Linked DNA regions of Arabidopsis thaliana. The protein of the gene in region 3 purifies or fractionates together with the protein of the main gene of each other region. This does not show direct contact. Each region holds a gene or a part of one and is shown on either strand. Other genes may lie near its edges. The genes, in order: AT4G30910, LAP2, GDH2 and LAP1.

What was found.
Region 1: the proteins of GDH2 (region 3) and AT4G30910 fractionate together in Arabidopsis thaliana (co-fractionation; one large-scale study listed by BioGRID). This does not show direct contact.
Region 2: the proteins of GDH2 (region 3) and LAP2 fractionate together in Arabidopsis thaliana (co-fractionation; one large-scale study listed by BioGRID). This does not show direct contact.
Region 4: the proteins of GDH2 (region 3) and LAP1 fractionate together in Arabidopsis thaliana (co-fractionation; one large-scale study listed by BioGRID). This does not show direct contact.

The regions. Positions count from the first base shown.
Region 1 is NC_003075.7:15,038,981-15,047,272, forward strand, and holds AT4G30910 (Cytosol aminopeptidase family protein), read right to left. Parts: upstream 6,365-8,292; 5' UTR 6,269-6,364; coding exon 6,038-6,268; intron 5,856-6,037; coding exon 5,441-5,855; intron 5,348-5,440; coding exon 5,153-5,347; intron 5,042-5,152; coding exon 4,816-5,041; intron 4,726-4,815; coding exon 4,599-4,725; intron 4,524-4,598; coding exon 4,281-4,523; intron 4,196-4,280; coding exon 4,135-4,195; intron 4,052-4,134; coding exon 3,864-4,051; intron 3,770-3,863; coding exon 3,641-3,769; 3' UTR 3,377-3,640; downstream 1-3,376. Other genes in the region: AT4G30900 (DNAse I-like superfamily protein), read left to right, coding at 1,041-1,182, 1,416-1,457, 1,983-2,065, 2,152-2,253, 2,369-2,583, 2,771-2,865, 2,952-3,223; LAP2 (Cytosol aminopeptidase family protein), read right to left, coding at 7,609-7,740, 7,835-8,022, 8,096-8,156, 8,247-8,292. UniProt on the Arabidopsis thaliana protein: Presumably involved in the processing and regular turnover of intracellular proteins. Catalyzes the removal of unsubstituted N-terminal amino acids from various peptides. Possesses Cys-Gly dipeptidase activity.
Region 2 is NC_003075.7:15,045,957-15,053,906, forward strand, and holds LAP2 (Cytosol aminopeptidase family protein), read right to left. Parts: upstream 3,483-7,950; 5' UTR 3,349-3,482; coding exon 3,115-3,348; intron 2,896-3,114; coding exon 2,481-2,895; intron 2,373-2,480; coding exon 2,178-2,372; intron 2,054-2,177; coding exon 1,828-2,053; intron 1,742-1,827; coding exon 1,615-1,741; intron 1,540-1,614; coding exon 1,444-1,539; intron 1,349-1,443; coding exon 1,271-1,348; intron 1,181-1,270; coding exon 1,120-1,180; intron 1,047-1,119; coding exon 859-1,046; intron 765-858; coding exon 633-764; 3' UTR 501-632; downstream 1-500. Other genes in the region: NFD1 (Ribosomal protein L21), read right to left, coding at 4,214-4,333, 4,451-4,525, 4,818-4,919, 5,075-5,155, 5,240-5,674; WRKY32 (WRKY DNA-binding protein 32), read right to left, coding at 5,960-6,308, 6,403-6,561, 6,647-7,302, 7,624-7,679, 7,772-7,950. UniProt on the Arabidopsis thaliana protein: Presumably involved in the processing and regular turnover of intracellular proteins. Catalyzes the removal of unsubstituted N-terminal amino acids from various peptides.
Region 3 is NC_003076.8:2,351,108-2,358,741, reverse strand, and holds GDH2 (glutamate dehydrogenase 2), read right to left. Parts: upstream 2,984-7,634; 5' UTR 2,590-2,983; coding exon 2,482-2,589; intron 2,381-2,481; coding exon 2,267-2,380; intron 2,156-2,266; coding exon 1,859-2,155; intron 1,700-1,858; coding exon 1,583-1,699; intron 1,490-1,582; coding exon 1,239-1,489; coding exon of another isoform or gene 1,196-1,238; exon of another isoform or gene 1,154-1,195; coding exon 1,078-1,153; exon of another isoform or gene 1,003-1,077; coding exon 730-1,002; 3' UTR 501-729; downstream 1-500. Other genes in the region: CYCP4;3 (cyclin p4;3), read left to right, coding at 45-324; AT5G07430 (Pectin lyase-like superfamily protein), read right to left, coding at 4,673-4,832, 4,934-5,172, 5,275-5,478, 5,569-5,847, 5,990-6,193; AT5G07420 (Pectin lyase-like superfamily protein), read right to left, coding at 7,376-7,535.
Region 4 is NC_003071.7:10,284,976-10,292,925, forward strand, and holds LAP1 (Cytosol aminopeptidase family protein), read right to left. Parts: upstream 4,711-7,950; 5' UTR 4,476-4,710; coding exon 4,425-4,475; intron 4,300-4,424; coding exon 3,891-4,299; intron 3,796-3,890; coding exon 3,601-3,795; intron 3,505-3,600; coding exon 3,279-3,504; intron 3,176-3,278; coding exon 3,049-3,175; intron 2,972-3,048; coding exon 2,876-2,971; intron 2,792-2,875; coding exon 2,714-2,791; intron 2,623-2,713; coding exon 2,562-2,622; intron 2,463-2,561; coding exon 2,275-2,462; intron 2,174-2,274; coding exon 2,042-2,173; 3' UTR 1,831-2,041; downstream 1-1,830. Other genes in the region: AT2G24195 (uncharacterized protein), read left to right, coding at 936-1,083, 1,518-1,615; AT2G24205 (ECA1 gametogenesis related family protein), read left to right, coding at 6,443-6,787. UniProt on the Arabidopsis thaliana protein: Presumably involved in the processing and regular turnover of intracellular proteins. Catalyzes the removal of unsubstituted N-terminal amino acids from various peptides.

The DNA.
Region 1 (8,292 bases), on a different chromosome or scaffold from region 3:
CAACCCTGGATGAGAGTCGTAGACTTGAGAAGACATGAAAGGGGTAGAGAGACGGAGGAAGAAGAAAGAGAGGATTTGTTCTTCTCTGCAAATTCGTAATGGGTAATCATCCGAATTTGGAGGAGAGCTAAGTTAGAGAGATAGATAGAGAGAGAGACGGACCTTTCGGGGATTTTGAGAAAAGGAAATTAGGGTTAGGTTTCTGCTTCTGTCTTTTGTCGGATAGTTTTGAGGAGGAGAACGGAGCTTAGCTTAGCGCCGTGTTTGGATCTTCTTCGTCTCCTTTTTCGTCAAAGGCGTCGTCGTATCTTTACAAATATAAATCTCGGTTCGGTTTTGTATTCACTTTGGTTTAATTCGGTTATTCAACAAAACTATCTCAAACAGTTGTTGTTACTCCTGTTTGGTCTGAACGGTTATTAAAAACTCACGTGTCTGTAGGGGTTCCATGTCTCGGGTTCGAAGCTTGTCTGAAATTAATTTTAAACCTTAAAAAAATCTAGAGAGAGACCAAAAAGCCGACGATTAGTCCACCGTGACTCCACCGGTCCCTCCACCGTGACTTCACCGGTCCCTCCTCCGATTAGTTACTCTTCTTCTTCTTCTTCCCCCGTTTCCGATTTGATTTGTTTCTGAAGTTGCTGATTTATACATGTATCAGGAAATGGCTTTAAGAGACTTTTGGTGATCAAAGGGCATGACTTTCACAGATTTTCCAGCAAAAGTCGTCAAATGTCCAAGACTCATTTTCTCCACTGTTGTTGTTGATAAGAGTCTGAAACAACAAGGTTCGTATTGGATTCCTCAATAATATAATATAATAAATTATGTTGATTGATTTTCTTTCTTCGAATCCTGAGCTGTTTTTTCACATAAAAATTGATAAGCTTTTGACTTATTATTGAAAATCATGTAGGTCACGACGACGATGAGCTGCTGCTGATGTGAGAGAGACCTTTGTTTTTATTCGTCTTACCAAACCATAAAGAAAGAAGAGAGAAAACTAGAGGAAGAAGAAGAAGAAGAAAGGAGACAAAACAATGAGTGTGTCTTTGAGTGTGATGTCATTCAATCTTCACGATGATCTACCTGAAGAAAGCCCTAATTCATGGCTCAAAAGGAAAGATTTGTGTCTCACTGTCATCACTAGTTACTCCCCCATTGTTCTCTGTACCCAACAAGGTAATAATCTTTAGCCACAATGGATCAATGCTTGTTAGATCTTTGATTCCTTCTTCGTATTGGTGATTCAATGCTTGTTAGATCTTGCTTCCTTCTTTATATTGGTTCTCCAAGAAGGCTTCTTTTTCCTGAATGCTGGAGATTGATTCTTGTGCTTTTTCTTGCCTTCTGAAATATTGAACAGAGATAGGATTTTCGTTTTGATCTTTTGTTATCATGTTTACATTGGTTAGGTGTGAAGTCGCAGTTGGATTATCTTCAGCAGGGGTTGCCAGGTATAATTGAATTCTCTTTGATTTATGGAAGTCTAATCTCTACTTAAATGGTGTGAGTTAGGTCTAATTGAACCCTGTTTGTATACAGCAGTCTGCTTCTTCTTAAGTTCACAGACTAGTGTGAATCTTGTTATCAATCGTAGACCACTCTTCTTGTTCTCAATCTACTATGTAAATCTATTTGTGATCTACTAGATTTAATTCTATTTTTAGTATATGTTGGTATTGCTTAAATCTGATAGCCAATTTGTCAATCCGTATCCTTTTTTGCATCAAGTTCAAGTTAGTGTTTTTAGGCTACAAAAGCCGGAGTCTAGTGCACTTAATGCATCTGTTTTATGGCAATGGAATGCATGATATTCTCACATTTACAGGTGCTTTCTTTGAAATGATGGTGGTATTGTTTATCTGGTTTTTGTTACTGTGAACCATGGAGCTTAGCTTCTAGTTTCACATGCCTTAATAATACTTCAGTTTGCATTGTTTCTTTGAACTTAAATAGATGGTAGTACTCTTTGCTTGCAGCCTATGATCAATTTGGCATATCAAGAACAGGACCTGGGGATGCTAATGATGAACACTGCACCATCTTCTTCAACAAGGAAAAAGTATTAATTCGGTTGATAAGACAATACATAACTACGCTCTAAATAATTAATACGCTGCTTGATACTATACTTTATACTAATTGAAGGTAGAGCTGCTAGAGGGTGGAACTTTTTGGTTGTCAGAGTCTCCCTCGGTCCCTGGAAGCACGGCATGGGGTTCCGCAGTTCCTTGTATAGCGACATGGGCTATATCCTTTTTACTAGTTGGGTTCATTTTAGTTAAACTATAATTAGATTAGTTTATGATTTTGGTGTTTTTGTCCTATATATCAGTATTTTGGTTTTCTTTGACAAGCTGCCTACACATTCCAACTTAAAGGAGCGGAGCCGCCTGGTTTTTCGTTTCAGATAGTCAACACAAACTTGGATGAAATCAGCCCTCGTGCCCGTAGGCGAAGTGCTTTACTCACATGGCAACACATAGCATCATTACCTCCCACTTTGCCGGTTGTGTACTGTGGAGGATTCAACACACAGAAGGAATCAACAACAGGGCGGTTTCTGTTGGGCAGATCTAGGTACCTTAATATCACATTCACAAGTTTTGTGCTTTTTACCAATCTCCTAGAGTTTTCTTTCAGGGCTCCTAGTTAATGCAAGAATGGCTAAACCATTCTTCACACACTGATCAACTAGTTTCAAATCAAAGCATATTTACTTATTTGACTGCTGATGAATGGCTTTTGGGCATCATTCAACTTGCAGAGAGCATGGTGTGGTAGGAGATATGAGAGACGCATGGCCAAGTGCCCGAGTAAGAAAAAACGTCGCTCTCATAAGAACATACCATGATTTCAAAGGTGTGAAACATTCCACCCTCTCATGAGCTATAAAAATCATTTATCTCCAAAGCTTCTAGATCATAACATGTTGGGCCTTTGTTCAGGTGACAAGCAGGGAACGGTCGAGTTCCTGAAGCTGATATTCAGAGCGTTATGCCTCTGCTGGGACCGACAGACGCAAGATCTACACACGGATTGGATACTTTACAGAGGTAGATCTATAGTTCCTGTAATGTGCGAGATCGTAAATGATAAGATTGACGACTTGTATCCTTCATCTCACTACCCTGTGTTTGCTGAGTTTATGCTTCCTCGTTCTGTAAGAATGCTTGAACCTACTCCTCCTGTTTCTGCTCCTGCTCAAGAGGAAAGCTAGAACACATGTCCTCACTTGCTTAAGCTTTGGACTATACTGATTGTTGTGCAAATGAGCTCTGTTTTTTTCTCGGCGCCTTTATTTATTGATTTGAGCTAAAACATATTCAAAAGAGATTTAAATAAATTGTTTTGTTTGCTCCTAATAGTTTGTGTTATTATTGATGACCACTGAAACATAAGATTGACGACTTGTATCCTTCATCTTGTGCTCCTAATAGTTTGTGTTATTAGGTAAGTGATGTTACGGAACACAAGAATATCTACAAATAGTCAAATACTTTCAAATGGGTAACTCGTCATATTCAAGCGTCACACTTCACAGTTCACACAAGCAAATAAAAACCCTTTTACCTACATTAAAACCTCTGAGAATGTTAAATAAGAACTGGGAGCACAAAGATCACCTGCCTACATCTTAAGAAGAATTGTTCTGTACCCACTCAACAAGTGTCGCAACTCCAAACCCAGTCGCAGCTTTCTTCTTCTCGTTCCACACCCGTCCAGCCATATCTATGTGCAACCACTCAACATTCTCGCTAACAAACTGCAACCATTAACCAAATCCGGTTCTTCGTTAGAGAACAATAGAATCAGTATTGAAGTGTGTTTTTTTGTTTCCACTCTTATGGTATCCTCACCCGTTTCAAAAAGAGAGCTGCGGTGATGGATCCACCTGCACGGCCTCCAAAGTTAACCATATCTGCAACACCTGACTTCATCATCTCCCAATAACTCTCTTCCATAGGCATTCTCCATAACTTCTCTCCACTCCTCTGTGATGCAGCAATTACCTCCTTGGCAAGCTCATCACTAGCTGTGTACATGCCTGCAGAAATCAAAAATCGAAACCAATATTCAATCATCACGAAAGAATGTCATTCTGTCTATTTTATACACAAGACTATGTACCTGCCATTGATGGTCCAAGAGCAACAATAATCTCCCCGGTCAATGTTGCAATGTCAACAATCTGCAAATATATATGATTCACAAGTTGAGAGAAAACCCAGCAGAAAGAATGTTATTGATAAGGGGAAGAATCTTTGAAACAATACCTTATCGACACCCTGGTTGCAAGCATAAACTAGAGCATCTGCAAGTGTTAGCCGACCTTCAGAATCGGTGTCGTTGACCTGCAACACTAACAATGGAAAGCTTGAACCTTTCGAAGCTGAATTCATATGGAAACGGTGTAATGATACCTCAATTGTCTTCCCGTTTGAGGCTGTGATGACATCTCCAGGTCTCATTCCGGTACCACTTATCATATTCTCACAAGCTGCGACAATAAAGTGCACCTAATTGTGCAAAGAAGCATTTGTTCAGGTACATTCACTTAACTCAGAAACTCAAGCTCCGTGTGATAAACTTACCTCAACACCGGGAGGCTTAATTTCACCAATGGCTTTTGCAGCGCCAAGAACAGCAGCTGAACCTCCCACATCGATTTTCATGAGCTCAATTATTAATTCAGGCCCAATTTTAATGTTGTAGCCACCGCTGTGAACAAAAACCAGATGGTCAATAACCAATAAGTATAAAAGAAAGAGATTGATGCGGCAAACAGAAGACAACAGCTCTTGCGAGTACCTGTCAAATGTCAATCCTTTTCCAACAAGAGCAAGTTTGGTTTTAACAGGGCCACTAGAAGGTTTGTAGATAAGGTGGATGAAATGAGGTGGATTAGCTGAAGCAGCAGCTACAGCAAGATATGAACCCATCTTCAATTCTTTGCATTGCTCCTCTTTCAAGATGTTTGCAGTCATGACATTACTGTACATGGAAGCCAGATTCGAGGCTTCCTCAGCTAGTACGGCTGTAAGATACAAAGCAGATTAGAGTCAAATGTTTGAAATAAACTTCAATAGACATGATGCTCACATTATAAAAAACATGAGAAGTCTAAGAGTATGATTATAATCCATACCAGGGGAGAGAACATTGGCTGGTGAATTAACAAGTTCTTTCGTGAAAATTACGCCATAAGAAACATGTTCAGCATACTTAAGCTTGTTCTCTAGTTCAGGTCCAGTGCCAAAGCCAATGAATACTACAGATTTGAGAGATGGTTTCTTTGACTCAGACTTATACCGACTGTCTTCAAACAAACCAAGCACTGTGCCTGTCAAAAGTAAAAAACGATTCCACAAAAGGATCAGTTCAAAAATGGTAATGAAACAAGCACTTCTCAAGGTTTACTAAAAGAAATCACAACCTGAAGCTATATCTGAAGCAGAACTGAGCTTAGATTCATCAGAAAAACTCTCAGAGGAGGCGAGAACAACTGCAACACTGCTAGCTTGAGAAGCTTTAGCAGCTGCAGCAACAGCCTCACCAAGACTCTGAAAAGCCGAAGGGGTTGAAGCAGATTTTCCAAGACCAATCAAACCGACCCGCTTTGAGCCGAGACCCGGAAGCCTAAGAACTGTTGACTGGCCAGGTTTCCCAGAAAAATCTTCCTCAGCCGAGACATCAGCTAGAAGTCCACCCAAGTGGGCATCAAGCTTCTTCAGTATGGGGTTCTCGAACTTGGAGTTGGCATCCTTAGCCATATCTTTCTCCGTCACTCCAACAGCGAGTATATCACCTTTCCATTCAGTCACGTCAATCTCCTTCCCGGAAAATGAGATCTGATACAGAAAACTCGAGTAATCAGAATCCAGTTAAGCATCTGGAAAGCTAATCTCTGACAAGACTTGACCATAATCGAAGTAAGCAAATCAGTGGATCATCTTAATCGGAAACAGTAAAGCGACGAATCTACAAAGCATTCACTAGTATCGAGTTTAAACACATAACAGCAAAGTCAAACCTTAGGATGATCGACGGAGTTGGCCTGAGTAAGGCCAAGAGTAGCGTGTGCGATTGTATGAGCCGTGGCTTTAGAAGAGCAGTAGAGAGGCGTGATGGCGAAAGAGACTCTAAGGCGAGACAGCAACTGGAATCGTACGAAACAAGAGGAGAGAGACGACGGAGAAGAGGAGAAAGAGCGGAAATGGAAGCGAGAAGAAGAAGCACATGACGTTACCAAAGTGACCGCCATTTGAGAAGTCTCCACTGAGCTTAGCTTCTTTATATTTATTTATAAGGAGAAGAACAGAGTGGCTGATGCAGACATATATATATATATATATATATATAGTATGAAATTAGAGTTATCTTAGAAAATTAGAGTGGCCCAGTCTCTTCTTGCGTCCGCCCGCGTCCGACCGTCGTGTCTTGTTGACGATGATTATTCTTTTACTTGACTCACTCACTATTGCTATTATCCGACCCGATCTTAACAATCTTGATTAGCTGTAGACTTCTTTTCAAATTTTAATGTGATCATGTTTCACTATTACTAAACTTATCTTGATAACCATATCTGAAATACTTACTACTGTTATTTGTTGCCTTCAAATTTAAAGTTGTTTATACAAAACATAGTTTTGATACTATTTATAGAAATTCAAATATTTCAAGGCATTCTTACACGAAGTGATAAAAGAAATTGAAAAACACGTCAGTATTATCACTTTTGTAACTCATTTGTGGATCAATAGGTGAAATCCAATTAAAAATACATGATTTAATCTAATAACCAAACCAAATTTAGAAATCTCGATTAATTGATTTGGTATTCTTCCAATTAAATTAATTAGACTTGGTTTAATAATTAAACCAAACCAAATTCTTATAATCTAGTTACACCACACAGACGTAATAATACACCAACAACGCAAATTGTCATTGGTTTCGGTTCTGGTCTTAACTAAATTAAGAGTCATTGGTTTAGACTGGTTAAGATCCGGTTCAATAATCAACAACAAACACGGGAGATAAGGTTCGCCGTTACCTTTCTCGGCGATTACTCTCGGTGGATCTGCTCGGGGCTCGATGAGGCGGTTTAAGCTCACGGCAGTAAGGTCTCATAGCTCAACAATCAAAACCAAAACAAAGCACAGATCATAAGAGAAAGCCAAAAACTTCCTGAGCAAGTTACATAATAGATCTAGGGTTTCCTTACCCTTAACGGCCTTGGCGATGGACTACGACTACTCCGGTGACAGCGGTTGACATCCTGTGACTCGTGGTGTCACTCTCCGGTGACACACGGTGGCTGTAGTGGTGATGAACGGCGACTATCTCTCCTTCTCAACAACTCACGGACCCATTCAAATACAACAACATGACGGGACACAGCAACAACGGTGGCTCAACTGTGTCTCTCACGGTGGTTGTTGAATTTAAGTTTAGACTAGGTAAGCATACAACAACAAAACTAATCTTCTGATTGATTTAACTTGTCATACTTAGTTGCACAAAAAAAAAAAACTTGTCCCACCACACAAAGCAAAAACACAACTAGTTCACATCAGTCAGAGATCACCAGACTTCATCTTAAGAAGAAGAATGGTTCTGTACCCACTCAACTAGTGTCGCAACTCCAAACCCAGTTGCAGCTTTCTTCTTCTCGTTCCACACTGGTCCAGCCATATCTATGTGCATCCACTCAACATCCTCGCTCACAAACTGCAACCATTAACCAAACCCGGTTCTTCGTTAGAGAACAATAGCGTCAGTATTGAAATGTGTTCTTTTGTTTCCACTCTTATGATATACTCACCTGTTTCAAGAAAAGAGCCGCGGTAATGGATCCACCTGCACGGCCTCCAGTGTTAACCATATCTGCAACACCTGACTTCATCATCTCCCAGTAACTCTCTTCCATAGGCATTCTCCATAACTTCTCTCCACTCCTCTCTGATGCAGCAATCACCTCCTTTGCAAGCTTATCACTAGGTGTATATATGCCTGCAGAAAAACCAATAGTCAACCATCACGAAAGAATTTTATTCTGTCTTATTTAAAACACAAGACTATGTACCTGCCATTGATGTTCCAAGAGCAATAATACAAGCCCCAGTCAATGTTGCAAGGTCAACAACCTGCAAATATTGTAATTCACAAGTTGAGACTTGAGAGAAAAACCAACAGAAAGAATGTATTAATAAGTCGAAGAATCTTTGAAACAATACCTTATCGACACCCTGGTTGCAAGCATAAACTAAAGCATCTGCAAGT
Region 2 (7,950 bases), on a different chromosome or scaffold from region 3:
TAACTAAATTAAGAGTCATTGGTTTAGACTGGTTAAGATCCGGTTCAATAATCAACAACAAACACGGGAGATAAGGTTCGCCGTTACCTTTCTCGGCGATTACTCTCGGTGGATCTGCTCGGGGCTCGATGAGGCGGTTTAAGCTCACGGCAGTAAGGTCTCATAGCTCAACAATCAAAACCAAAACAAAGCACAGATCATAAGAGAAAGCCAAAAACTTCCTGAGCAAGTTACATAATAGATCTAGGGTTTCCTTACCCTTAACGGCCTTGGCGATGGACTACGACTACTCCGGTGACAGCGGTTGACATCCTGTGACTCGTGGTGTCACTCTCCGGTGACACACGGTGGCTGTAGTGGTGATGAACGGCGACTATCTCTCCTTCTCAACAACTCACGGACCCATTCAAATACAACAACATGACGGGACACAGCAACAACGGTGGCTCAACTGTGTCTCTCACGGTGGTTGTTGAATTTAAGTTTAGACTAGGTAAGCATACAACAACAAAACTAATCTTCTGATTGATTTAACTTGTCATACTTAGTTGCACAAAAAAAAAAAACTTGTCCCACCACACAAAGCAAAAACACAACTAGTTCACATCAGTCAGAGATCACCAGACTTCATCTTAAGAAGAAGAATGGTTCTGTACCCACTCAACTAGTGTCGCAACTCCAAACCCAGTTGCAGCTTTCTTCTTCTCGTTCCACACTGGTCCAGCCATATCTATGTGCATCCACTCAACATCCTCGCTCACAAACTGCAACCATTAACCAAACCCGGTTCTTCGTTAGAGAACAATAGCGTCAGTATTGAAATGTGTTCTTTTGTTTCCACTCTTATGATATACTCACCTGTTTCAAGAAAAGAGCCGCGGTAATGGATCCACCTGCACGGCCTCCAGTGTTAACCATATCTGCAACACCTGACTTCATCATCTCCCAGTAACTCTCTTCCATAGGCATTCTCCATAACTTCTCTCCACTCCTCTCTGATGCAGCAATCACCTCCTTTGCAAGCTTATCACTAGGTGTATATATGCCTGCAGAAAAACCAATAGTCAACCATCACGAAAGAATTTTATTCTGTCTTATTTAAAACACAAGACTATGTACCTGCCATTGATGTTCCAAGAGCAATAATACAAGCCCCAGTCAATGTTGCAAGGTCAACAACCTGCAAATATTGTAATTCACAAGTTGAGACTTGAGAGAAAAACCAACAGAAAGAATGTATTAATAAGTCGAAGAATCTTTGAAACAATACCTTATCGACACCCTGGTTGCAAGCATAAACTAAAGCATCTGCAAGTGTTAGTCGACCTTCAGCATCGGTGTTGTTGACCTGCAATACCACCCACAATTAGTTTGGCGTAAAACTAACAATGGAAAGCTCGAACCTTTTGAAGCTGAATTCATATGGAAACGGTGTTATGATACCTCAATCGTCTTTCCGTTTGAGGCTGTGAGGACATCTCCAGGTCTCATTCCAGTACCACTTATCATATTCTCACAAGCTGCGACAATAAAGTGCACCTGATTGTGCAACGAAGCATTTGTTTAGGTACATTCATTTAACTCAGAAACGCAAGCTCCGTGTGATAAACTTACCTCAACACCTGGAGGCTTAATTTGACCAATGGCTTTTGCAGCGCCAAGAACAGCAGCTGAACCTCCCATATCGAATTTCATGAGCTCAATTAAGCAGCCAGGCCCGGTTTTAATGTTGTAGCCACCGCTGTGAACAAAAACCATCTGGTCAATAACTAATAAGTATTAAATAAAGAGATTGATGCGGCAAACAGAAGCCAACAGCTCTAGTACCTGTCAAATGTCAATCCTTTTCCAACAAGAGCAAGTTTTGTTTTAACAGGGCCACTAGAAGGTTTGTAGATAAGATGTATGAAATGAGGTGGATTAGCTGAAGCAGCAGCTACAGCAAGATATGAACCCATCTTCAACTCTTTGCATTGCTCCTCGTTCAAGATGTTGGCAGTCATGACATCACTGTACATGGAAGCCAGATTCAAGGCTTCCTCAGCTAGTACGGCTGTAAGATACAAAGCAGATTAGAGAAAAATGTTTGAAATAAACTTCAACAGACATGATGCTCACATTATTAAAAAAAAAAAAAATGAAAAGTCTAAGACTGATGCTCAAGAAACAATCCTCACCAGGAGTGAGAACATTGGCTGGAGAATTAACGAGTTCTTTCCCGAAAATAACGCCATAAGAAACATGTTCAGCATACTTAAGCTTCTTCTCTAGTTCAGGTCCAGAGCCAAAGCCAATGATATCTACAGATTTGAGTGATGGTTTCTTCGACTCAGACTTATACCGGCTGTCTTCAAACAAACCAAGCACTGTGCCTGTAAAAATAAACAACAATTCCACATAACGATCAGTTCCAAAATGGTAATGAAACAACCATTCTCGAGCTTTAATAGACGAAACCACAACAACAACAAATAAAACACCTGAAGCTATAGCTGACGCAGAACAGAGCTTAGATTCATTAGAAACACTCTCAGAGGAGGCGAGAACAACTGCAACACTGCTAGCTTGAGAAGCTTTAGCAGCTGCAGCAACAGCCTCACCGAGACTCTGAAAAGCCGAAGGAGTTGAAGCAGATTTTCCAAGACCAATCAAACCAACTCGCTTAGACCCAAGACCCGGAAGCCTAAGAACTGTCGACTGACCAGGTTTCCCAGAAAAATCTTCCTCAGACGAGACATCAGCTAAAAGTCCACCCAAGTGAGCATCAAGCTTCTTCAGAATCGGGTTTTCGAACTTGGAGTTCACATCCTTAGCCATGTCTTTCTCCGTCACTCCAACAGCGAGTATATCACCTTTCCATTCCGTCACGTCGATCTCCTTCCCCGAAAATGAGATCTGATACAGCAAATTCGACTAATCAGAATCCAATTAACCACAAAAATTCAAACTCGAAAGCTAATCTCTGACAAGACTTGACCATAATCGAAGTCAGCAAATCAGTGGATCATCTTAATCGGAAACAGTAAAGCGACGAATCTACAAAGCATTCACTAGTATCGAGTTTAAACACATAACAGCAAAATCGAATAATGCTGCAAGCGATCAGGAACAAACCTTAGGATGATCGACGGAGTTAGCCTGAGTGAGGCCGAGAGTAGCGTGTGAGATTGTATGAGCCATGGCTCTAGAAGAAGAGTAGAGAGGCGTGACGGCAAAAGCGAGTCTAAGGCGAGAGGGGAACTGGAATCGGACGAAACAAGAGGAGAGAGACGACGGAGAAGAGGAGAATGAGCGGAAATGGAAGCGAGAAGACGAAGAAGCGAAGGACGTTACCAAAGTGACGGCCATTTGAGTAACGCACTGAGCTTCTCTTATTTATAAGGAGAAGAAAAGCCGCGTTTGTGCTTATCTCTCTCTCTCTCTTGTTGACGATGATTCTTCTTTTACTTGACTCATTGTTTGCTTTTATCCAACCCGTCCCCACCCGACCCGATCTTAACCATGGACTTACGTACTCGTGTAGCTTTATAATTCTCTTTGGCTCCAAATTGCTTTTGTTTAAGTTCTTTATACATATTTATACAAACAATGGTTTTGATACTATTTACAAACATTCAAATATTTCAAGGCATTCTTACACGATTTTCCGATGTTGATAAAAGAAATTATAAATCAGTTCCAAGTACTATCAATTCTGTGAATCATTTGTTGATGAGGAAGTGGTTGCCATATATAGTTACAATAATAATCACCTGATCTAAAGAGTCATAGTGGAAAAAATCGAGATTTTGAGTGTAATGTGACTTGCAGTTATTACCAATTTACCACCAGTTTCATATCTGTGACCGAGACTTGCATGAAGAAGTAAATTAAACCATAACCAAACCACAGTAGTACAGTACAAAGTACAAAGCATAGAGAAGATAAGGAGAGAGATGTTTCCGCAAATCTTTATTTCTGAAACAGAAGCAACAAACAGCTCCCACAAGCATGAGCCAGTTTAAATACAAAATGAAGAGCAAGGAGAACAAGACAGTGAAAGGCAAATCACATTTCATATCTCAGGAGCCTAGTTACTTACCACTAACTACCAAGAAGGCCTTTTCATCATTTCAACGACTTTAAAATCTAGTTCTTAGTGAACAGCAAGTGATAATTTAACTTACTTCAAATGTATCGGCATCAGCAAAAAAGAAAGAAGCAAATTTTATCTCTAAGCAACTAGCTCAGCCTTCGTCTGTTCTGTAACAGCTTCTTTCGAAGGCTTATGGACGATCTTCGGTTCTGGTTTTTCAATTCCTTGTATATCGGTTATTCTCAACTTCGTCAATTCCTGGACACAAGTGTTGAATGGTCAAAAACAACAATCATAACACAGTGGAAAGAACTAGAAGAAGGCAAAGATGAAATAAACACACTGTCTATCTAAACAAGGAGTTATAAAGTATACCTGTCGATGTCCTCTCGTTCTCCTATAATTCTTTCTTCGTTTCTTTTTGAAAATGAGCACTTTTTCATCCAAAGCCTGTCACGCATCAAGGAAAAACTAGTTGAGTAATGCTGGTACATGAGTAGATCCTTCTACATTCCAAGCCCATCTTAAATCAAGACATTCAGATGATGTAGAGATAGATGAACACTAATCTAATGACTTGCAAGACTTTCACAAACTAATCAGCAGACAGTTTGATTTAGTTTCTCTCAGTCACCGGATTCAGCAAGCAAACTCTCATCTATCCTCTTTTCAATTGTAAATTATTCTTAAGCACAGCTTCACTAGTATTATAAAACACCAAGCAAGTCAATGAGACACTTACATGCTCTTCAACTACAGCATGAACTGTCGCATCTGGCAAAATAGGCCTACCAATAATCGTCTGGCTTGCCGAGCCCAATAGAAGAACCTTGGTTAGTTCCAACTGCAAAGGGACATAAAGAGAAAGGTTTTAGCAACAATCATAAATCATAAACACAAATGCAAAGGTTCGTCCTTCTTACGAGAGATACGGTAAAGTCTAGCCCTTTGAGAGAAGAATAGCAAAGATTAACGAAGAAGAGCTTGAAGCTAGCATACCTTATCATTGATGTCACAGAATTTCAACTTCTCGGTGAAAATGGAGTCCCCATTGCTAACTTTAAACTGATGCGAACCAATCTACAGGATAAAAATAACCACTCAGCATCAGTGAGAGTGAGAAATGAAACTAAAGGATTAATTGAGATAGCACAGAGACGAGACCTGAACAATGGCAAACACTGGTTCATAGGGTTTGAAAAGTCTCTCCGAAGGTTTAAGAGGACCCATCACCTTGTACCCTATCTCCTCCGCCTCTTCCACTTTCTCCGCCGGTGAATATTCCCTTTCTACTTCCATATCCGCCGAATCCTCAAAGTCTTCCCCCTCCTCCTCATCATCATCCTCTCCTTCACTGCTTTCTTCATCTTCATCAGTATCCTTTGTGTTCGAAGAGAAACAACGATCTTGAGAGCGATACCAATGACTGTACCATGGCAAATTCCTAGTGAGAGATCGATTCGGAATTACGGTCCCATGAGAAATGCTGGTCCCGGAAAACTCAATCCCATGAAATGAAGAGATCGATCGCGTCTGGTTGATGGAGAAAACAGTCGTAGCGCGGCGGCTCAGCTCACGAAAGCATCGAAGACTCGCCATCGGAGAGCACGAACACACTAGGGTTTACACAGAGTAGAGAGAAAGGGTTTTTGTTCTCGTCTTTTAGTCCCTTTCAAGTTTCAGAAGACCCTCTAGACGAACCAGAGGCTATTCACTAAAATTAGCGATTTAATATCACAATAAACATATACCATCATTACACAGACGAATGTTAACGTATTTAGTTGGTAATCTTCATGGGGTTTTTTATTATTATTATATAACAAGAACAAGGAGGCGAAAATTGAGTCGATGAACTCTATAAAACTCATAAACTACATATAATCAGCATTGCTTGATTTCGAATCCAATGCTCAACAAAGTCCTAGCTGATTCCATCACTTTCTCTCCACCAACGTCCAATGCTTCTTTACTCTGCTTCTCACTTTCTCGCCCCACCGAGCACTGGCTTGAAGTCGGAATGTTCACCTGATCGTCTGTCCTGGTTCTCATTGATGTTGGAGCGGCTGCAGCTACGAGCATTGAGCTTGGAGGACCATGGCGTTTCTTAGGCACCGGCATGTCGTGGTTGTGTACTCCTTTGTATGTGATTATTACTGCTTTTGTGTTCTCGACTGCTGTCTCAATGTGTTTACGAACTGGACATCCCGCTGAAGTGCATCGGTAGTAGTTCCTGAATGTTTGAAACAGAACAAATCAATCACCATGCGTATTAGAAGATGTCATATGTGGATAAAGAGATGGGTCATGCGTTTAGTTTTCTAGACCTTGGATGAGGATTTCCTTTCACCATTTTCTGCCCGTATTTACGCCACCTGTATCCATCACCACAGATACCAACATCACCAGCTGCGTGTACTACGAATTTGTTTTTCTTTCCAGGTTTGGAGACAGAATCTGAACTCTGTGAGTTATCTTTTTTCAGTCTGAAAAATAGAGAGAAGAAAGTCTATTAATTTCATCTTTCAAAGTGAAGAGTAAGCACCGAAATGCAAAATTCTACAAACTTGCCTTCGTTTTGGCTCTGGTTCCTCCACAGCTTCGTTCTCACAGTGTCTTTTCCGGTCAACGAGTGTTTGCGACTCACAGATGTATTCTTTAGTAGAAGCAGACGGATCTGAACCGCTAGGAACAATTGATAGCTCTTCTACTACTGTATCATCCTCTGAAACAGGCCGGATAGCTGTTGTAACTCTAATCTCTCTCGGGGAGAAGCTAGTCTTCCGGGGAGGTTCATGAGTATGTAAACCTTTGTTAACAATCTCTACCACATTGCCTGAATCATTGGAGCATTCAATTTTTTTAGCACAACATTCAGTGTATGTACACCTGTAGTAACTCCGTGAGCCCTTGGGACTCTTAACCTGCTTCTGTCCATATTTTCTCCAATTATAACCATCACGAGCCGGTGTCCTAGGAACAGGAGTAACCGACAATCTGTTAACCACCGGCGAATCTGATCTTTGCTCTTGTTTAGTTGGAACTGAAACCAGTGGTAAATCTTGTGCGGTTGAAGCAGTTGCAGGATCCAAAGATAGACATGGCGTCACTGTCAATGAGTCTGACGATGCAGCCAGAGAAGGAGATGTTTCTACCTGACGATTCTCTTCCACTTCATCAACCGGCACAATCGCACTTACAACAGTTTCCTTGACGCTATCAGTCTCCTGCCAATGTGATACAAAAAGCAGTTAAATGTCATGCCTTGATAACAGTGATTCTTGTCCTCAGAATTGCCTAAGAAATCAGACACACTAAAATGTAACAGATCAAACTGATACAGATACAGATTGAACTTGGCCAAAGGTTAAAACCATTACGATTAATCCTATTCCCATGTTATTGTATAATCACTGAACGAGTAACATCGAAGACACTGAAATGAGTTAAACTTTACAAGTTCTAGCACAATCAATGTTAATGAGAGAATCAAAGTTGTAAGTGTTAAGAAAGTTTATGAATAGCAGAAGAGTCTGAAGCAAACTCACATTCACTTCTAATACATCTTCAACATTTGGTTCCACAGAGGAATTTTCTCGAACACCTGGTAAACTCAAACATCATTTCGTCAAAAAATAAAGTCTCGAATAAATAAATAAAAACCAATAAAGAATTTTGCGCAGAATAAACCGTTACCTTGAACCTGATCCTTGCCTAGGGTTTCTCGCACAGTCTCATCATGTAAATCTTCCATATCCGCACCAAGTGATTTTTCCTCGTCTCTGAATTGACTCAGTCCGTCCTTCTCCGGCTCCACTTTCTCGCTCTTCTCCACCGTGTATGTCTTAGCTTCGTCGATACCAGTGTCTTCTTCC
Region 3 (7,634 bases):
GACAATTTTCTAACAAATATTATCTGAATTTTTATAAAATATAGGTGTTACAATAATGCATTCTATGCGAAAGTTGGAGGAATAACCACAGAGGAGATGAACTTGTTAGAGCTGGACTTCTTATTTGGAATTGGATTCCAATTGAATGTGACAATTTCTACTTATAATGACTATTGTTCTTCACTTCAAAGAGAGATGGTTATGAGGACGATGTACTCTCCACTTTTGGAACCTGCTTTTTTAGTTAGAAGTTTTCATAAGAATCTTCTAAAGAATTTGTACGACGAAGATCATCGTAATAGTCAAGTCACCAGTGCTGTTTGATACATTGGAATACTAGATCATCTAACAAATGGAACCTTTTAACGGAAATGTAACAATTTTTTTGAGAACTTCAAATTGAATTCCAGTAATATGTAACCGATTTTAATAAATGTTTTGGTTTCACTATTTGTGTTTTAATAATAATAATAATGAAGTAGCAAGCCACACAACTGATGAAACTAAAATTTGGGCTTTTTTTTTCCTGGAATATTTCATCCTCTGCTTTGAAACTCTCGTTTAATCCAATCATATATTTTATTCCAATTTGTTAGTTTTTATTCAATCCATTTGTTTCCTTTTCCATTTCGGAAAGCTCAATGATTTTCAGTAACAATGAAACCAAAAAAAAAAAAATGGAAAACAGAGCAAGCAAGAAACAGAGTATATAAGGGGGATTCAACTGAATTAAGCTTCCCAACCACGCAACTGGGTGGCTCGAGCGACTCGGTTAACTCCAAGAGTGAAAGCTCCCATACGGAGGTTGCAAGAATGAGTATGGCACATTGTCTTGATGTTGTGAAAGGCTCGAGTCATGTATTTTTGCAGCTCCAAGTTCACTTTTTCCTCTTCCCACATGAATCCTTGAATGTTCTGCACCCACTCGAAGTAACTCACTGTCACTCCTCCTGCGTTTGCGTAGATATCTGGAAGTATAATCACTCCTTTCTTCGACAGAATCTGCCAAAACCAAACAGATTAGGATTTTTATTTTCGGAGTTTCAGGGATGAGTTCTTGTGTTATCGATGCATTACCTCATCAGCATCTGGATCTGTTGGATGGTTAGCTGCCTCTACTATAAACTTTGCCTTCACATCTCCAGCATTTTCCCTGAACAAATATTGGGAAATATAAGAATCAGAAAGTGAATCTCTATGATTGGTGTTGATTTGATGAGTGAAGTTTTTGAACTGACTTGTTCAGGACACCACCAAGAGCGCATGGAATGAGAACATCACACTCATGAATGAGCAATTCATCTGAATTCATAGCGTCTCCACCATTGAAATCATTGAGACTTCCAGTTGCGTCCTTGTGTTTTATGAGAGCGTTGATGTCGATACCTTCAGGGTTCCTGATTGCACCAGTAATGTCGCTTACTGCAACCACTTTACCGCCTTTCTCGTGGATCAGCTTCGCAGCCCATGTTCCAACATTCCCAAAACCCTGTCACATATCATCCAAATCTCTCAACATTTCTGTCTTATATCATATACACAATAAAGCTTGAGATCTGAGATTAGCTGATAATGGTTTTACTTGAATAACAAATGTCAAACCCTGAATCGATTTCCCGTACTCAGCAAGAAGAGCTTCGGTGGCAAATACTACACCACGACCTGTGGCAGCTTCCCTACCTAATGAACCACCAAGATCCTACACCAAAGTGATCCAACAGTTACTTCTATACCAAAAAGCTCAAAACTATGGTAATCACATAGAAACATCGAATTAATTCAAATCAAGAAAACATCCATAGAATAAACAACAGATTCCGGACTCAGAATGATATAACCAAAATCTTAAAAGCCTTACAATGGGCTTTCCAGTGACAACAGCAGGGGAATGACCATGAAACTTGGAGTACTCATCAAGAATCCAAGCCATGGTTTGAGCGTTAGTGCCCATATCAGGAGCAGGCACATCGGTATGAATACCGATAAGATCATGAATCTTCTGTGTAAACACACGAGTCAACCTCTCAAGCTCGCTCAAACTCAAGTCACGAGGACTACATCCAATTCCACCTTTAGCACCACCATATGGAATATCTGCTACAGCAGTCTTCCAAGTCATCAGCTGAGCTAGTGCGTTAACTTCATCTGGATCAACCTTCAAACCAAAAAATCAAAACCCTTAATTCAAATCCCTAGATTCAATCTATAACCCCCAAAGTTGTCAACTTTAAATCCTAGATCAAGAACAAATGATAAAAGACCCTACCTCAGGATGATATCTGATTCCACCTTTCATGGGTCCACGAGCATTGTCATGTTGAACCCTAAATCCGATGTATGAAACCAGAGTGCCATCGTCTTTAGGAATCGTACACTCAACCTGAAATCAAAAGTAAAAAAATCCAAACAAAGATTGAGACGAATTTTCCCCAAAAACGAAACAAAAGAGTAAAACCTCAAAAGGAAAAAAAAAAGTCAAACCTTGATTTCTCTAAATGGGATCATAAGACTTCTCTCGATCTTCGAATCCAAACCCAGGATTCGAGATGCATGACGGAAGTTTCTGTTTGTTGCAGCTAAAGCATTCATGGTTTCTTCTCTATAAAAAATTCGAACTTTATGGAACAAAAAAAAAAAAAAAATCAACAAACCAAAAAATTCAAAGTGATCGGAAGATCCAAGATATCAGAAAGTGAAATTTGTATCTCGTGATCGGAGAAATTTACCGATTGTAAATGGGAAAAAGGTAAGAACTTGGAGTTTTTGATTTGTTGTGATGAATTGAAGAAGAAAGAATTGAGTATTTGTAGGGGAAAGAAGAGAAAGCGTAATTTGAATGAGATCGGATATTTTTGACGTATCCTACGTCAGACGGAGACTAATTATCGACTGCAATGACTCTTTTACCCCTTATTATTTATTTGGATTTCTCTAATCTTTTTTTTGGCTATCTCATCATTTTTAACTCCTTTTTAAGTCAAACATATCTTTAGAAGATTAACATTCCTTTAAAATTTACTAAAAAAATATTGGCTTGAGTTGGAAAGTTATAAATAATAATCGAAAAAATTACGGAAAAAAAATTTAGTAATTACAAGAACTACAAAAGTTTTTAAGAATATACCAACATGGTAAATTCGTAAATAACGGTGGAGAAGGTAGTAAATTTTGATTTTAACACTAATTGTTTTAAAAAACCATGTGATATTTTCAGGGATTTTTTTTTTTTTATAACTTTAATTGAGGAAAAGAAAACGATATTGGTTTCTTGAAATTTTCGGTTTCCGTTTTCTTACTGGTGTCCTGTGACAGGATCGGGACGTGGATACCCAATTAGGATGGAGCTGGGACAGACTGTTTTTGGGGACGGCGTTATATGACTTTTTACCTTGTTGATTACTATGTTGTATGACTCATTTATTTTTCCCAAATACAGTATTGTATTATCACTTTTATGAGACATTTAATGACATTTCATATTTGGAATACATATACAAATGTTATCAATTAGTACAGCAAATTGTGGATAAACTTCAGACCTGCTTACATAAGGTCCACGTTAGAAACAAAATAAAAACATGCATCTAGTGCAATTGACTCGCATTCTTTAAATACTAAGGCATTTTAGGAATATCTCTCCATAATTAGTGAAATTAAAAATGATTTTAATCCGAATATACTATAGAATATGACCAACAATATTTATTTAAAACATTTCCGAAAACGTATTTATATATATCAACAAAACGTGAAAGAAAAAAAATTGATCGTCGATGTTATCACGAGGAGATGCGAAAAACATGGAAGTAAAGCTCATTTAGGGGCGTGGATTCTCTGCGGATGTGACAATATTGTACTAATGGTTCTAAACAATCTTAGCCGTTGAAAATCGGATGGTCATTAAATCGTAAGAACCAGATTCCGAATCTAAGTCAGACTCAGCAGAACACGTTGCAGAAGTTGCTATCCTTCTCTTCTTTAATTGGATGGCGACTTTTTGCTGACCTGGCTGTGACGCGGCTACTCGCGGCGGCTTCGTCGGTGCATATCTATATTTTTTTTTTCTTTTGACCATTGGGTCTTCACTTAATTCAATAAAATTTATGCATGCATCTCTTATGGATTAAAATATACTAATTCGCCGAGAAAATTAAAGAAAGAAGAAGCTGATTCATATATATACGAAAAATATTGAAGTTTAACATTTGCAACTAGAACTATTAAAATGATGAGATCTAGAAAATGTGTGTGTTCTACTTTTTTTTGGTTAAAATAATCAAAATGTTTAATAAAAGCATATATATCATGGATAGACATTGACTCTTTCTTTTTGTTGGTACTTTAAACATATATACCATGAACGTTTAACATAAGAAAAACAAAAACAAATCATTAACTCAATAGGGTGTGAACATAATTATGATATTTTACAAAAACAAATTTTGTATATATATCCTATAGGAATTTCTAAATAAAGGAAAACAAAAACACCACAAACATCCGGTATATATAGAAATGAATGAATTGGAAGATTTATATATGTAGAAAAAATATTGATCAATTCATATCTTAAGCAATACAAAAAAAAAATAAAGAAACTAAAAAGATGGGAACATTTCAATTATAAATTAAAGAACGGTGTTACAACAAATAAGTTGTCTTAAGAAAAATTTCAGTATTTAGGAGGAGGAAGTAGCCATGTGGAGCCCTTAATGTAACCAAGAGTGAGGAAAGGCGTAACTTCGTTTTTGTCAATATCTTGTGTGTAAGGCACTCTCTTCTCTAAGTGTGACCCTGGTCCGAAACACTTGTATTCTCCATAGAACACCGTCCTGTATTTATACAACACACAATATCAAATTCAGTTTATAATCAAATATATATATAAAATGTAGTTCTATATGTAAATGAGATGATATGAAATGTTACGTACTTGTCATATCCGCGGTTGAGGTTCTCCCTCCAGCCAGATGGATTGACCACGCTGGTCATCTCTGTGAAAGCATAGACGACTTTAGGGTGGCTCATCCAAGACCTGCCCAAATAGATTCCGGTTCCGGTTCCAGTGACTTTGCAGTGCACGAACGTGTATCCGTTTTGTTCGGTTGCACTTTGTCTACCTTGAGCTGTGATCACTCTTAATCCATCTCCAACAGCGTGCAATTGCGTATTCTATCGAGTTTACATACAAATATATGTACTATTAATATCAAAAAAATGCTATATATATGTGTACCATGTTAAAAGATGTCTAATATTTAATTTTAAGGTTACCAAGTACAAGGAAGCTCCTCTTCCAAAGATAAAATCATAAGTTCCTTCGATGTAACAATCCTTGAAGAAATGGTTGCCCTTGTCGTCACAGAGAGTATCTTGAAAACCATGGAATCTACAACTATAGAAAGCTGCCTTATCAGCGTTGATCCTCATTGCTAGAGCTTGTCCCTGTGAACCTGGTTTCGGCATTGGAGCAGTGTTCTATAGTATAACAAAATCAAATTAATTAGTAGCGATTAATCTCTAACGTAATGTAGTAACGTATAACGAATATAGATATGCTTCTCATACTTTAATGGTGAGGTGAGCTGCCTGGAAATATTCAGCCCAGACGATAAGAGTTGCACTCTCAACGGTTCCGTACTGAGCGGCTGTCCCGTGGTAAGTCAAGACCGTTTCCGCACCAGGTTGACCAAGCAATGTAATGAATGGTCGAGCTATGTCGATTGTGACCTTCTCATTGTATACACCAGGAGCCAACTTGATGATCACACGGTTCTTGTTTCCTGTCGGAATGCTCTTGATAGCTTCGTTTAATGTCTTGAAATTAGCGCCACCTTTTTGATTCACCTGCAATGAGATTTTCATTTTTCACTCGAGTTAACATACATTTGTAAACTATTCATATAAGCAAAAATTTAACAACGCCTACTTAATTCGGTCAAATCGATATGAACCGAACCAAACCAAAAATCAGATTTTAGTAACTTACGGTGATAATTTGTCGCGCTGCTTCAGCAGCTTCGAGGGCGGGGTCTAGCGTGCCCTTTCTCTGGGAATATGGTTTAACGTTTGTTTTAAACCATTGCGGGATTTGGGCTCTGTTTTCTGGAATCGGATCTGTATCGGTGGCTAGAACCACCGGCGAAGCAAAAACAACAAGGAATGCAACCACGGACATTGAAATGTAACCCATCTTTTTATTTTCTTTTATTTTCTTTTATTTCTGTTACAAAATAAAAGAAAATAATGAAAAGGAAAAGAAAAACTAAGTGTTAATATTACTATCTTATTTACTTTTAAAAATGGAAGAAATGAAGAAGCCTTGAAGGGGTTTTTATACTTGTCTTGCTTGTTGATCTCTGACCGGACATATCTCATTTTTACTATTCTCGTCTGTGGTTTATATTTCTTGAAGCATTTTTGAATATCTGATTTTGTTATTATTACAAATTCAGTAATTTTGAATGGAGATAAATTCGCACATTCATCTGTAACCATCAACGAAAAGGAAAATTTACAGTTGGCAAAATCAACATGTTGAATATTGACTCATCCAAAAGGAACTATGTTGTTAATTTGCTATATATCTATCTATAGATTTACCTGAAAAGGACCTAAACCACAATTTATGTTTGAATGTAAATTTGCTAGACATGACAGGAGTGGTTAGTAGTTCAATGTTAATTAAAATGACACTTCCTAAATTTGGATTTGCTTTACGTCAATGACGCTTCCCACATTTGGCCGTGATTTTCGATCGAACTTATATATATCTCTTCAAATTTTGTGTTTTATTTCTACTAGACCGGTAATGTCAATTATCAAGTTTTTATAATAATAGAAAAAGATTACAAAATGTTCCACCAATAAAAAGCTATCCGTGATTTTCCTTTACAAAATTGTGAATCTACAATTTTTAACCAAAAACGTAATTTCACAACCATCTGCTAAAAATGTGATTCTTCAGTTTTTTTTTTTAAATCACAAGTTAACAATTTTCTACCAAAATACGAGTTCTAATATCAAACATAAAAAATGATAGAAAGTAATGTCCATATTATTTTTTGTTTAGAAATTGTCCCCAATCATTTTAACATTAACTAGAAAATATTTATAGTTAATGTGTTCGCAATTTCGCATACAAATATACTGTCATTCATAACATTAATCAGTCGCGTCACTCTATCCATGCACAATAATCAGTATGTTTGAATTCTTATCCGCTTCTCATTTGTGAACCATTGAGTATTTTATTATCATGAAACCAAAATTACACAAGTCTCTACTCCTCCATTATATACAGGAAGAGAGGATACTTCGAAAACAAAACGTACAATTGTAACATATACAGAATTTTAGTGATGATTGGGTCTGTTTAGTAAGCGGGAGGAGGTAGAAGCCATTTGGAGCCCTTGATGTAGCCGAGGGTAAGGAATTGGCTAGCTTCTTTGTTGTCAATGTCTTGTGTGTGTGCCACTCTCTTCGCTTTGTGTGATCCTGGTCCCGTGCACATGTATTCTCCATAGAACACCGTCCTATCATTCATTATATAAAAAATATTACTTATTAATGGTTGGTTCGCACTGTCACAAATCACATTTTAAACTTGTAAAAACTATTGCAATATCTTTTCT
Region 4 (7,950 bases), on a different chromosome or scaffold from region 3:
AATGTGGAAGCCAATGAAGCCACGTAGCTCAGAAATTGATGTTCTTGGAAAAGGTAAAGAGTGAGTGGCCCAATAATCTCACCATTAAATAGTTTTGGTTATGATTTTAGTGTTTTCGTTAACATAAGCGGCCTATAAAGAATAGTTAAAAGAAAATAGCTTAGACATAAGATATATAACAAAATCTATATATATGTAAAGCTGAGGCGATATATATGGTAATCAGAATGTGCAGAACAAACAGATTAAATTATGTGATGCGACTTGTTGGAGGAAAACTCATTATGCAGAAGAAAAACGCTACAAACAGCTCAAAATAATGTGTGAATAATGAGAAAATAATATGTTATCCAGTATGAATGTTTGAATGGTGAAAAAGTTTTAAACAAATATTTTATAGTTTTTAATAGATTAATTTATATAATAGTAGTAATTTGAACAAATATTTTTCAGTTGTGTTATTTTATCGCAATTTTTTGTTAAATATATGATTCTGAAAACAAAAATTATATTGTATGATTTTGTTTTTTTTCAGAAAACTGTAATCCGAATAAATACCTTCTATTGTTGAACGTAATTTTTTTATAAATGGTTACAATCGTTTAGTCGAAAGTTTAGTTTATTTTACAAATCATTGTTTTTTTTTTTTTTGACACGATCTTAATAAAACCGTCCACCTTCTTCTCCTGAAAACTTTACATTTTCAAGAGTTGGACTAATTCATAGAAAATCTTACATTTTCAAGAGTCACATACGCATTTTCATTGTATATTGAAAATGAAACACGCTGAGAGATATAATAATATATTAGGTTCACATATGAATTTTCAATTTTTCATTGCACGCGGGACACACCAAACCATTTTTTTGACCTGGTTTCATTTATAAAAAAGAATACTGTAAAACGTGGGCTTCATTTATCTCTCTATATATATATGCTTGAATTACATTTTGAATTCATAGATCTAAATCAACCCAAAATGTATAAATTCGTCGTTTGCTTATTAACTTTGAGTTTTCTCTTGCTCTCTGGACTATCAAACACAGCATTGGCCCGAGTACATCATGAGTCTTCAAATCCAAGTAATTTTTATATTCCAAGCAATTTTGTATACTATTCGATTTTTGTTTAATTTGATTGTAGAGTATTAAATATACACTTCAAATTTTCCGTTTTAGAAAACAGAGATATTGAATGAAAATCGAATGTTATATAGTTTTGGTTATAATTCCATGTTTGCAAATATATCTTTAAAATCAAAGAATATCCATAGAAAATAGTCGTCAATTTTACTTTATCATCGCAGTTTGAATTTACGATTTGCTCATTATATATGAAAACTAAAACTGAATCATTGTAATAATATCTCTTCATTTTTGGCTTTTGTAATAATTATTCCGGTATGGACATACAGTTCTTTTTCAATTTGGATTGGTTCCTCTAGATACGTAAGCAATAAACTGGCATAACAGAAATGATTTGTTAATTGTTGCTTCTTTTTTTTCTGTTTTGAAAGAAATAGGAAACAGGGTTTGGGATCAAAAGATCTTCAACAATGTGAAGGTTCGTGTACTTCCCAGTGCTTCAAGGCGTGGACCTGGGCAAACCGGTTAGAAAATCAGTACTAAGGAACAAAAGGAGTATTAAGTAGAATAGTTACTTCAAAATATTATCAAAAAAATATTTTATTTTATGATAGATAAAAGTCATGTTTTGTAACCACTCATATGCTGTTTTTTTTTCAAAAGATGTTCAATTATTGCATTTGACATTATGGTTCATAAAATTTGAAGTGGTTACCGAAAAAAGTAATGAAAAGGAGAACCCAATGTTGAAGACTTCAAAAGTAGAAATTTCAGACAGTATTTTTGCACGACTAAAACAAAGTACCACTTTATTCAACTTTTGACGATTTTACTTTTCATAACAAGTTAAGAACATCTGAAAACATAGTAACTTTTGAGACCTTATTAAAAACCAGCAATCATTTCAACACCCGAAAAACTCTACAGTCTCTCCCTCACGCTCTCTAGGTTTCATTCACGAAGATGAATTCTTCTGTACCCATTCAACAAGCGTAGCAACACCAAACCCGGTCCCAGACTTCTTCTTCTCGTTCCACACCGGTCCAGCCATGTCGATATGCATCCATTGCACCTTCTCACTCACAAACTGCCATACCACAGAAAATAGAGGATGGTTTAGTTACTTTCACCGACGAATTTTTTGTCAAAAACATGTATGTATAGCCTCTAAAGGGACTTTGTTTTCACCTGTTTCAAGAAGAGAGCCGCGGTGATGGATCCTCCTGCCCGCCCGCCTGTGTTGACCATATCAGCCACTCCAGACTTCATCATCTCCCAATAGCTCTCTTCCAGTGGCATCCTCCACAGCTTCTCTCCACTCCTTTCTGATGCAGCAATCACTTCCTTTGCAAGCTCGTCGCTAGGTGTATAGATTCCTATCAAGTAATGAACACAGAATGATCATCATGAGCCAATTTTGGACTCAAAAACGACACAAAGATTGAGTTTTTCTGCAGGGTTTTTGAGCTGTGTACCTGCCATTGAAGTTCCAAGAGCAATAACACAGGCCCCGGTCAAAGTAGCGAGGTCAACAATCTGCAAGATATTTGACAATGTTTAACTGAAAGGATAAATTTAACAGAAACAAGCTCCTTTAGCTTCTCATATCAATAAAGTAATGCAATACCTTGTCGACGCCTTGGTTACAAGCATACACTAGAGCATCTGCGAGTGTTAGACGACCTTCAGCATCTGTGTTGTTGACCTACACACACCATCGCCAACAATTAGCATTTCATAGGAAAAACAGTAAAAGCTCAACTCTGAGGGGGAAAAAATCATCAGATACCTCAATGGTCTTTCCGTTTGAGGCAGTGATGACATCTCCAGGTCTCATTCCGGTTCCACTAATCATATTTTCACAGGCTGCAACGATGAAATGAACCTGGTTGTGGAAGACGAATCTGTTCAGTTCGGTTAACAAACTATAGCTTTCAAAAGAATCTGATGGGAGAAACTAACCTCAACACCAGGAGGCTTAATCTCACCAATAGCTTTCGCAGCGCCAAGAACAGCAGCTGAACCGCCCATGTCGAATTTCATGAGCTCAATTGAGCAGCCAGGTCCAGTCTTAATGTTGTAGCCACCACTGTGTACACAAGATATTCAAATCAACAACCACTAAAATAACAAAGAAAAGATACCAGCTCGTAACAGAGTAAAATTCAAAGCAATACAGAATGATTAGTTACCTGTCAAAGGTCAATCCTTTTCCAACAAGAGCAAGTTTGGTCTTAACAGAGCCATTCGGAGGTTTATAGACAAGGTGGATGAAGTGAGGAGGATTAGCCGACGCAGCAGCAACAGCTAGGTAAGAACCCATCTTCAACTCTTTGCATTGCTCTTCGTTCAAGATGTTTGCAGTGAAGACATCACTGTACGTAGAAGCCACCTTTGCTGCTTCCTCAGCTAGTACAGCTGAAACGATACAAAAATCAAAGCAGTTTAGGAAAACTCAGCGAACACCACACAAACACGAAAATATTTGATTTCATAAATGACAACAATTCATACCAGGAGTAAGCACATTGGCAGGAGAATTAATGAGCTCTCTCCCGAAAATTACACCGTAAGAAACATCTTCAGCATACTTCAGCTTCTTTTCTACCTCAGCCCCAGTTCCAAATCCAATAATATCAACAGCTTTCAAAGATGGTTTCTTTGATTCAGACTTATACCTACCATCTTCAAATAAACCAAGTACTATGCCTATCCAAAAATAAACAATGAGACCCCAAATCAGTTCCAATTTCCAAAACAGTACTAAACAAGACTCGAACTTGTGTTATACTAATTGAAGTTACCTGAAGCTAAAGCTGATACAGAACTAAGCTTAGATTCATCAGAAACACTTGAAGCAAGCACAATAGCAGCACTAGTAGATTGAGAAGCTTTTGAAACTGTAGCTACAGCTTCACCAAGGCTATGAAAAGCCACCGGAGACGAAACAGACTGTCCAAGACCGATCAAAGCGATTCTCTTTGATCCTAAACCCGGAAGCCTGAGAACAGTCGATTGACCAGGTTTCCCAGTGAAATCTTCCTCGGAAGAGACTTGAGCTAAAAGTCCACTTAAGTGAGCATCGACCTTGCTCAAGATCGGATTCTCAAACTTTGAGTTACCGTCTTTGGCTAAGTCCTTCTCTGTCACACCAACTACGAGTATGTCTCCTTTCCATTCAATTACATCGATCTCCTTCGCAGTGAACGAGATCTGCATAATCGTCACCAAAAGATCAAAACTTCAAACTCGAATCAATCAAAAAATCAAAACTTTGAACTAAATCAAAACTGGATTCCATACAAAATCATTTCAAAATCACAGTGAAGGAAACAAACCTTGTGAGGCTCAGTGGAGTTGGGTTGAGTGAGACCGAGAGTGTGAGCCATGGTTATTGCTATTGAAGAGAGGTGTTGTGTGATTGAACTCTGAAAAGGAAGACGAAAGAGTAAACAATGAAAAGTTAGGATTGGTCTTTCAAAGGCGTATATATAGAAGGAGAAGTTAGGTGTGATTTACACATGTGTGATGTGTGTTAGTGAGTAGCTCAATTAGGCTTGAACATTCGGACTTCGGATTGGATTTTATTACGATAATTCGGGTTTTGGATTTGTAGGGTAAAATAGGGTTTTGGATTTTTTAGACATTCGGACTTTGAATCGGATTTTATTAGGGTAATTCGGGTTTTGGATTTGTAGGGTAAGACATGGTTTTGGATTTTTTAGATAGGGAGATTTCGGAAGGTACTGAATATGTTTCGATCGGTTCGTTTTGGATTTATACGGGTTCGGAATGGTTCTCGAAAAAAAAAAAATGCGACCATAGAATCGAAATATGTTCTGATTCGATTTTTGAATCGAAAAACTCCAAAAACCTAAACGATGTATATAGAAAAACGCTCCAAATGATCCTTAAAATCCAAAAATATGTGTATATATTGTTTTGTGTTTTTTGGGTTTACGTTTGGATTTTATTTTTTGGTATAATGGTTGGGTTGTAGGTGTTTTTGAGTATCCGTTTGGGTTTCAATTTTTTTTTAATGTTCGGATTTCAGATTTTACCAGTATATAACCGAAAATCGAAACATATAATTTAAGATCTGTTAGGATAATAACAACTTTTTGATTTGGAAATTTTTTTGGGCGAATTTCTTAAGAGAAGGTCGAAATAATAAAAGACAAAATTATAGTAGAAGTTGTTATTTTCAGCAACCTTATCAAACATATCTCTATGAGATATGCAAAAGTTTTAGCTTCAGTCGTGTTGAAGTGTTCTAGGTGGAATGGTTTAAATGGGTGAAAGGGCATCGATCATGCTATCGAGCTAGTCACTTCTGACTCTGATTTTGGGCACTGTTTCGTCGATCGTTGGTCATTTTGTGCCGCCTTTGATATCTGATCAAGTATCCACAAATCCGTCCACACCAATATTTTGAAGGTAAACCCCATTTCCTAATATCAAAAATACTATTCGCCGTCCGGAACATTGACAAGTACACGGCGTACCAGTCAAACATGGAGCCTAATCAATTCAACTATTTTTTCTATTTTGTTTTGTCGACAATGGTCTAATTGATACATGAGAAATTAGGCTGTATGACCATAAAAATTTAATAATTCAATAACTAACTTAAAAAAAGTTGACTACATGATTATGTGTATAACATGTAATATATACTAATCTACCCATTTGTTCACATGTCATATGTATCTTTTGATTCTTTTTCTGAATTTTGTCTTCTTTTTTTCTTTTGTATTTTGAAGTATGATCATTTTTAATTGTGTTTATGTTAAAATTTTAATAATATTATTGTTACTAATAAAATTTCACATTATGACTTTTACTATTTTAAAATCATTTTTTATTTTATTAGTTTTTTGTTAATAATTAATATTAATAGAAATAAATATTTATTAAATGAACATTGTAATTATAATTTAGTGTTAAAAAAAAAAAATGGTGACATGGCTTTGTTTGATTGGATGTTTACCATGATGATATGTACACATTAAGAGAACAGAAAACTCTTCCATAATATATATTAGTTAATAACACTAAGAATGGTGAGAGTGATATTAACATGGACATGGTTCCATTTTCATAATGCGTTTTTTGAAAGACAATCGTTACATTTTCAACTCTTTTTCAATGTTGGAAACCGCAAATTAATTACCAAATAGGCAAATAAATACTCGAACGAGTTTCATTAAAGATAATTAAAGCCAGTTCTTCATTTCTTTCATATAAATCAGACAATAATCCCATGTTATTTTCATCACCCAGTTACAAACTTGAAAAAGAATCACACATCAGAATATTTTAATTTTTCTTTTGTTTTGCCATAAGAATATATATCATGACGATAAAGAATGTACTTTTTGTTCTAGTAACCATTTGTGTAGCAGTTTCTGTAAATGCTCAACTACAGCAATATCCGATTATTTTCTCAAACCCGCTTCCATTTCTGCGCTCGACTGGTATACTAAACCTACCAGACGTAAAAAAATGTTTCTCGTCCGTGAGGAATGTTCCAGGATGCTTATTAGAGATCTCTCAAGCTTTTGGAGAGAAATTCGGTCACATGATGCCCGCTTGTTGTAAGGCTTTCATGGATAGCATAAAATGCATGCCAAATATTCTATACAGTGTACTTTTCCCTCCTAATTTGAAAGAACAATGTAATCAGGCAGGGATCCACTAATTTGAAAGAACAATGTTCTGAGGGATCCACGCCTAGTAAAGAGGTGGTAGTTGCCACCACTTAAAAAACAGTTTTTAATATAACTTTACTAAATATAAATAATTGCCACCGTAACAATTTAACTCTTTCCATGATCCCATTTTTTTAAAAATAAAAATATTTAAGATGGCCAAAAGCTCACTTTACTAGTATTTTATAAATAAAAGCGTAATTTGTAAACTAAATCTAACTTAACTAATTAAAACTAGGCTTGGGCGTTTAATCTGAAACCGATAATCCAAACCGGAAAATCGGATTAAAATCCGAATCGCATTCAATATCCATAGGTACCAGATTATACTTGATCCGATGCAATATTCGATATGTATCCGAATTTGTGTCTTTTGTTGTACCAGGGACATGTCCAAGTTTGAAAATGTAGCTAATAAGAAGCTTGAGGCTGGCTTGTTTTCACTATCTTCCAAAATTTTTTTACTACTTTCGATTGAATTCTGCTACTTTTTTAATTTTTAGGATGTTATGGTTTACCTTCGCTTTAAAACTTTGATATATTGGCATCGTTTTATGTCTCACTTTGGTTTCCCAACTCTATGGTTTGCTAAGGTTTCATGTTAGTTCAACTAGTCATTTCAGTTTTGTTTTGCGGTTTTCGGATTGTTTGGATTATGTTTAGATTTTTTGTTTAAATCAGATATTGAATATCACATGCATACCGATTCAAAATCCGAAATATCCAAACCGAAGTCGAACCACATTCTATAATTATTTTTATAGATATTAATTAGAATCTATTTCCAAAAACTCGAAATCCGAAAACACCAAACCGAATTCGATTCGATAATCAAACGCCCAGACCTAAGTAAAACCCTACAACTTTTGAATCCAATTTTTTTTGTCGTTCTTTCTTTTTCCTCCTAGTTTTTCTCCAGACGAGAACTCCCTGGTAAGTTTTTGTTCTTTGTTCAATTATAACTGTTTATTTCAAATTTTAATCATTGTTTTTTCATTAATCATTCTAACTGTAGAAATCTAAGGACAAGTTTGTTTCTTCTTATTGTAGAGGTTTAGTTCTCGTGTGATTTGATGATACTTTACACATGTGCTAATAATGATTTTGTGTTTAGTTTTCCAAAATAACGTTGTTGCTTCATTTCGTTTGAATT